Notamacropus eugenii: one gene and its partner. The protein of the gene in region 1 interacts with the protein of each later gene in a biochemical or structural test. Links are inferred from orthologs where the notes say so. Each region holds a gene or a part of one and is shown in the gene's direction. Other genes may lie near its edges.

Region 1 (3,744 bases):
GGGCAGGGAATGTCAAAATGACCCCAGAATCATAGAATTTTACAATTGGAAGGGACCTCGATAGCCCTTTAGCCTGATTCCCATGTAAAAATATATACCAGTAAATCCCTTGGCTCCCTTCAGTCAGTGCTTGAGGACTTCAAGTGAGGAGATACTTACCTTTCCTAGGTGACCCATTCTTCTCCTGGGCATCCTTAATTGTTAGCATGTTTTTTTTTCATCAAGCCTGTGTTGGCTTCTTGGCAATTTCCACCCATTGCTCCTGGTTCTTGCCTCTGGGGCTAAGGACAACAAACATGACCCCCCTTCTACACACCAGCCTTCAAATATTTGAAGACGGCTCTGTGGCCCACCTGCATCTTCCTCTTCTCCAGGCTAAACATCCTCATCCCCACCCTATCCCCACCCATGCAGGGTGTTAGGTCCCTGGATTTTGGGGCTGGGGTGGGGGAAGTGGTGTAAGAGGCCCCTAGGGTTGCTGCGTCACGATTCTGAGAAGTACCATGCTTTAGGGAAGCAGCTTCTCTCCCCTTCCCCTCCCTCGGTTACCTCCACCATCCCCACGCTTTCTCTACATCTGTGACCTTAGGTAACCCTTCTTTGGGGAGATCTCTAGGTCCAGCTGTGTTTCCCTCATGTCCCCTGCTGATCTCCAGGGACCCCGCCTTCAAGGCACAACAGGCCTTTTGGCCACATTAGGGTGAGAGGTGTCTCCTAAAGGTTTAAGTTCTGCTCTTTGTGCGAATGTTCTCACCCTCACCTCTTCCTCTGCAGTGTCTGGGCCCCACTCCCAAGTTGTCTGTGCCAGGCAGGCACTGTGCCATCTGTCTGCTTAGCCTGGTGTCACGGGAAAACCTCCAGCTGCCCAGGTGGGGGGAGCCCCGTAGAGAAAACCCCTGTGCCCTGTTCTCTGTGCCTACTCACCTGTCTTGTCTTCTCCTTTTCAGCATCAGAAGACATGGCTTCCCCAGCAGCACCAGCGTCATCAGAGTTCATCTAGGTGAGGATACCTCGCTCGATACTCTGCCTAACAGCCAGCCGTGGTGGGTGCCATTCAGGAGGCTACCTCAGCTTTCCAAGCCTCATTCCAGCTTATCATAGCAGCCGACCTGAGCAGCGCCCTCCCCTCCCTTTGCCACCTTGCCCCTGGTTTGGGCGGTGGCTCCAGAAGGCCAAGATCACCCTGTGGGGTACTGCCCTCTTCAGCTGCAGGACAGGAAGAGGGGGTGGGTTGATCACCCACAACCCCTCCCAACTCCAGGCCCCAATGAGCTGAGAAGGGGCATTGAGAAGCCCCTCAAACCTTCCCAACTGGACTCTCTGTCTGTATCTTTGACTGTCATCAGGGCATGGCCAGCAATAGCAGCTCATGCCCAACGCCTGGGAGTGGGCACCTTAATGGGTACCCAGTGCCTCACTATGCCTTCTTCTTCCCTCCCATGCTGGGCGGACTTTCTCCACCTGGCACCCTGACAAGTATCCAGCACCAGCTTCCTGTCAGTGGGTACAGCACTCCGTCACCAGCCAGTAAGTTGTGCCACAGAGTGGGAATGAGGGGTGGGGATGGGTGGGATTGAGGGCTCAGATATCACAGGAGAACCTGGTGGTTTATCATCAGAGCTCTGTGAGGGGATGGTTTGTGGTGGTTTTGTTATATAAAAACACTGGGAAGGATGGGGTGTCAGTCAGGGAGTGACAAAGAAAGAGTGGCTAATAACGGACGTAGCTGTTGGGGGAGCTAAGGGGTACACTGGATAGAGCTCTGGATTTGGCATCAGAAAAAACTCAAGTTGAAATCCTGCCATAGACACTCGCTGTGTGACCTTAGGAAAGTACTTAAACCTCTCTCAGCCTCAGTTTCCTTATCTGTAAAATGGGAAGAATAATAGCACTGACCTCACAGGGCTATTGTGAGATTCCAGTGAGATCAGATGTGGAAAGTGTTCTGCAAACTTCGAAACACTATATGAATACTGTTTATTACTGTTGCCTGTTTTACAGGGAATGTCCTTCGAAGCTTGCAGGGGCCCCATCTAGGGATGGGAAAGGAACCTCTATTATAATTTGGGTTGCTGGACTCTGCCAAAGTATGTGCTAGGCTGGAGGGCTGCAGAAAGGTTAGGGCCATTTGTGTTGCGTTCTCGGCCCGGCTTTCCCTCCTTCCACCTCACTGAGGATCTTATAAATAGCTTGGTTGGCAGCAGACAAAGGCCCCTGGTAGATAAACAAACCTCTCGACATTTGGCGGGAACAGTATTGTGACCTGGAGAGGCAGCCACATGCCCTCCTCCCTCATCCTTACCCTCAGGGTCCCCTGTACCAGGTGTCTTTTTATGAGGGTACCTAAAGGGTGTAGGAGGAAGGCCAGCACAGCGCGCTTCCCCTACATACATACCTTGCTACTAATTCCCCTATTTGAGTGGAGCGTGAAGGGAGGGAGGTGGTGGGTATAAACCTGGTGAGAATTGAGGTGAGCTAGGCAATGGAGGGAAGGAGCTCTGGGGACAGCATGAGGGCGGGGGCAGGGAGGAAAGCTCTGCCTTGGTCATGGGTGGGAGCTGGGCTGCAAGGAAAAGACATAGGCCCCTCCCTCTTCCCTTTTGCTCTGTCTCTGATTTTTTTCCCCCATTTCCCCCTTCCTCTCTATCTTTCCCATGAGAGTTTTGCACGGGCTAGGTGGGCGTCTCTTCCACCCCTGGCCTGTCTGAAGCCAGGTAGTGGGAGGTGGCAGTAGTGGCTGCCAGCTGGCATAGCTCAGACCAGAGGCCTGCCAGGCCTCTTACTGTAACTCTGGCCCCTAGGGCCGAGCTGGGCACAGTGCCAAGTCAGGAGGGGGAGGGATCTGGGGCCTGGCCGGGCGGGGAGAAGAGGGAACAGAGGCTGGGAGATGGATGGACAGGGCAGCTGTTGACCTGGGAAATGTCCTGTTCTCCCTCCTCCCTCCATCCCACATGCCTTTTCCCTGGCCTGCCCAGGATGAACACTGCCACAGACACCCACTGCTTCTCCTGTTGGCACCAGTGGGGCACCTGGCAACACTGCTCTCTGCTCCCTGCCCTGGGTCAATGCTCCCTTCTCTGGATTAGGGCAGTACTCGCCTTCCTAGGGTCAGGGCAGTCTCATTGTCCCTGAAGTTGACCCTGGAATGGTGCCACCCTACTTGCTCTGGCCAGTTGCCCACAGCATCTGACCTTCCCTAGAGTTCCTCCTCTGTCTCTGTGTCATTCTCCTTCCTGACTTCCCCCCACAGCCAGGGAACTTTCAGGTATCTTGTACATAGTAGACATTTAATAAATGCTTGTTGTTAAATCAATTTGAAATGGACAAATGTATCTGCCATTCTGGTGCCCCCTTCCCACTTTACTATTGGTGTTTTCAGCTTGGGGGAGGGACTACTTCTTGGTCCCCAGAGGGATAACCCAGGTCCTGCTCAGAAAGTTTCCTGAATGCCACTCTGGATATCCGCCCCCGTGCCCCAAAGTCTCCCTTCTCCCTTCAGTCCCTTCTCCCATCTCATTGTCTCCTGTCTTGTTTTCACTCTGTACACTTTGCTCTGTATGGAAGCTTTAAAGCTCAACCCCAATTGGGGAGAGAGCTCTTTTATTTTGCATCTCACCTACTCTTGCAGCCCATATGCTTTATCTGAATGTCTGGTGTTTGTCCTGAGTGGTTAAGGCCTTTGGAGGTGGGGCTGAGAGGGGGGACTGGACTGATTCCTCCTTAAGTTGGCACTGCCCCCATTCT
Region 2 (3,744 bases), on another chromosome or scaffold:
GGGGCAAACCTTTTAATACAAAAGTTTTAAAAATCCTTGTTTCTGTGTTGTTTTTCCACAAGGAAAAGTTGACAAATAGTCTCCCTTCTGGCTTTTTCTACTCTATTATGCCTAAAATTCAATCCTATGATCTCGCTTCAGGATTAAAAACTTTTTAAAAGAAGCTCAAAATTTTTTCTTGATCAACTGTTTCAACACATGCTGGGAATCCAGGCATTCTTAAGTGAATCCCTTGCAGCGTACAATCAGCATAAAAGAGGATTGACTCAATCCATTCATCTCCTCACTCTAGCTCACCCACAATTCTCCCCACCTTTTCCATTCATTATTCTGGTTAAAAAAAAAAAAAAGCAGATTGTGAAAATCCGTGGACCTCCTGCCTTGAAAAAACACCCCCTCACCTCTGTTTTTCCCTAGGAAGGTTTCTCTTCATCTCCTCTGATCCTTTCACTCCCGCACCCCGTCCAGACCTTTATTTCCCTTAAAGCAAAGGTTCTCAACCTGGCTTCCATGCACTTCGTACACATGTACAATCTGAATGTCAATATGCAGAGTGGGTTTCTTTGGCAATCCTATGCATTTTATTTTATGCATCTAATACAAGATCCTGGAAAGGTGTCGGTCCACAGGCTTCCCCGGATTGCCAGGGGGTCCGTGCCGCAGGAAGGTCCCTCGGCTGTTCATCTGAACACAGAGCGCCAGGAGGTCGCGCCCCCCACTCTACCGCGCCGAGGGCCGGAGGAGAGTTCTCTCGGGCAGTTACTTATTAATCACAGCTCCCAGCAGGGAAGGCGGGGGGCGGGGGACGCTCCGGGCAGGGAGGAGCGCCGCGGGGGGCGGGGGAGCTGGGGGAGGGTACGGAGTTAGGTGCGAGGTGGTTGGACGCGGGCTGGAGGAGGGAGGGCGTCACTCAGGCCGGGCCAATACAACAAACAGAACCCTCCGTCTCCTCCGCGGTGCAGAAACCGCCACCAACAGCCCAACCGCCGCCGGAGTTCCGCGGAGAGGAGGCGGGGCCTGCGCTTGCCCCCGTCCCCCTCCCTCCTCCCCGCTCCCTCTCGCGGTCCCCTCTCCCGGGGCGAGCCTGGGTAGTCCCGGGCAGGCTCCGCCCCCTCGCGAGAGGCGGCGGTCATTGGGCTGCGGGGCTTTTTTTGCGGTCGTCCTAGTTGCGAGGAGAGGGCGGAGTCGGGGAGGAGGCCGCCTTCGGAGGGCGGGGGAGGCGGGAGGTGGTGGTGAGCGGCCGGTCCGGGAGCGGAGCCGAAGAGGGAGAGTGCCCGGGAGAAGTCGAAGCCGGGGAGGGCTCCGGGATCGCGTCGGCCCGGGGCGAGGCTTCCCGCCGCCGGCGAGGAGCGGTGCCCGCGGACTCCTCTCCCTCCTTCCGGCCGCGACACCGGGGAGGCGGCTTCCTCTGCGCCTCCCTCCCGATCCTCCCCGCCCCCTAGTCCGGAGGAGGAGGAGGACGGGGGCGGTGGTTGGGAGGAGGAGGCGGCGGCGGCGGCGGCGGGCGGAGACCGCGCTCCCCCTTCTCCCTCGGCGGCGGCAGCGGCAGCGGCAGCGGCGGGGACAGGACAATGGAGGTGGCTGTGGAGAAGGCGGCCGTGGCAGCGGCGGCGGTCGCGGCAGCGGCGGCTGCGGCAGCGTCGGGGGCCCCGGCGGCCGCGGCCCCGAGCGGGGAGAATGAGGCCGAGAGCCGGCAGGGCCCGGACTCGGAGCGCGGCGGGGAGGCGGCCCGCCTCAACCTGTTGGACACTTGCGCCGTCTGTCACCAGAACATCCAGAGCCGGGCGCCCAAGCTGCTGCCCTGCCTGCACTCCTTCTGCCAGCGCTGCCTGCCCGCCCCCCAGCGCTACCTCATGCTGCCCGCCCCGCTCCTGGGGGCCGCCGAGACCCCCCCTCCTCCCGCCGCCGCCGCCGCCGCTCCCCCCGGCTCCCCGATCTCCGCCACCCCACCGTACAGCACCCAAGGTGAGCGAGCCCCTTTCCCGCCGCGCGCGCGAGGCCCGGGAGGGGGCGAGCCGAGCTCGGCGGAGCCGCGCCGCTAGCTGGGGGAGGGGAGAAAAGGGGCGGGGAGGCGGGGGACGCGAGCGAGACACACGGCGGGTGAGTGCGTGCGAGTGCGTGCGGGTGTGTGGCGACCCTGCTGTCATGTCGCCACGGGGGAGGGGGGAGAGGGAGACGGCAGGGTCTGTGTGTGCGGGCGTGTGCCCTGCGCCCAGGGCCCTGCGCGCTCCCCGCGCTCCGCCGGCTTCTCCGCAGGCCGCCTGCCGGGGCACCCGGGCTGGGCTGCTCGAGTCTCTCGAGTGGCCCGGCGCCTTGTTCCGGCCAACTTTTTTCTGAACGCCGACCCCTTAGCGTCACTGCTCACTCGGTGTTCGCCCGAAGCTTTTGTCCGGGGCTCCGGGATCCCGGGAAAGTAGGGAAGTGCCTCGTCCGTCTTCCTTTATTCTTCTTCAATGGATGAAGCCTTCGGCCGGCGCCAGATCTGACGTTGGGTTTGGAGGATGGAGCCTTGGGCTTGGGTCCTGTGTGGGAGCTCGTTTCCTCGCGGTGCTCTTGCTCCCCTTCGTCGGGGACAAAGGGACAAAGTGACAGTGTTTCATTTGTCCTCCCGTGAGGGGGCTGGCGTGGACGGGCTTGGCCGTGGGAGAGGCGGGAGAAAAGTGAGTTCGGTGGGAGAGGGGTTTTTTTCTTTCAAGTGTACGTGAAGAAGAGCTGGAGGTGCTGGAGATGGACGGTTTCTCCCGGGATGCGGTTGGGTGTTTTGTTTTGTTTCGGTCAGTGTAGTGCGGGAAGCTTAACAGGTAACCTGGTGTTGCTTTTGGTACCTGTTATTAGATCTGAAACATTTTTAAAAGTTAAAAGCAAAATGTTGAATTTGATACAGTTGTAGAAAGCTTTTTGCGTTTTTGTGCTTTCCCCCCTGTTTTTGTATTTTCTTTTAAAATTATAAAAGCAACATTTAGGAAAATATGTTAACTGCTTTTCAAAAAAGGAAATAACTTATTTTTAACTCCTCCCATTTTTAGAGGAGAAACTCCATTTAACTTAGAGTAGTTAGTAGTTTCAAGGCAGTGGCTAGAGCAGTGGGCCTGGAGTCAGAAGACCTGAATTCATATTCGACCTGAATAGTTTTGTTAACCCTGGGTAGCTTCCACCTCTGCCTCAGTTTCCTGTTGTGAGTATTAAACGAGACCGAGATAATAATTGTAAAGGACCTAGCTCCATTTAAATGTTAACCATTATTAATTATTCTCATTTGCTAGTGCCCCCCCTCCCCACTGTACTTTGCGTTTTTGTTGTTAAGTCGTGTCCAACTCTCTTCACCTCGTTTGGGGTTTCCTTGGCAGTTACTAGAGTGGTTTGCCTTTTCCTTCTCCTGCTCACTTTAAAGATAAGGAAACTGAGGGGAAAGGGGGTTAGGTGACTTGGCCAGGGTCACAAAACTAGTGTCTGAGGCAGGATTTGAACGCCACCTAGCTGCCAGATAGGTTATAGTGCCAAATTGAAGTAAGAAGGGTTCTGAAGAATGCTTTTTATTGGAATAAAGTGAACTGTGGCTTTAACACTTCCACTTAGTTGTAGTGAATCAGCCTACCTATTCAAGATTAATCCTGGGTGTAAGGGCAATTGAAATGATTAAATCTTGAGGGAAAAAGAAGTAACTTTTTTTTTTTCCAAATAGTGTATTCTTCAGTGAAGCTGCTTTTAAAGAAAGAACATTTTCATGAAACTGTTTAGATCCCT

What was found. The genes of interacting proteins can lie anywhere in the genome.
Region 2: the proteins of RARA (region 1) and TRIM24 form a complex in vitro, tested with the Homo sapiens proteins (3 studies listed by BioGRID). The link is inferred for Notamacropus eugenii from reciprocal best matches to the Homo sapiens genes RARA and TRIM24.

The regions. Positions count from the first base shown.
Region 1 is NC_092873.1:355,853,324-355,857,067, forward strand, and holds the start of RARA (retinoic acid receptor alpha), read left to right. Parts: upstream 1-1,238; 5' UTR 1,239-1,349; coding exon 1,350-1,527; intron 1,528-3,744. UniProt on the Homo sapiens protein: Receptor for retinoic acid. Retinoic acid receptors bind as heterodimers to their target response elements in response to their ligands, all-trans or 9-cis retinoic acid, and regulate gene expression in various biological processes.
Region 2 is NC_092874.1:110,703,728-110,707,471, reverse strand, and holds the start of TRIM24 (transcription intermediary factor 1-alpha), read left to right. Parts: upstream 1-1,434; 5' UTR 1,435-1,571; coding exon 1,572-1,965; intron 1,966-2,666; exon of another isoform or gene 2,667-3,744. UniProt on the Homo sapiens protein: Transcriptional coactivator that interacts with numerous nuclear receptors and coactivators and modulates the transcription of target genes.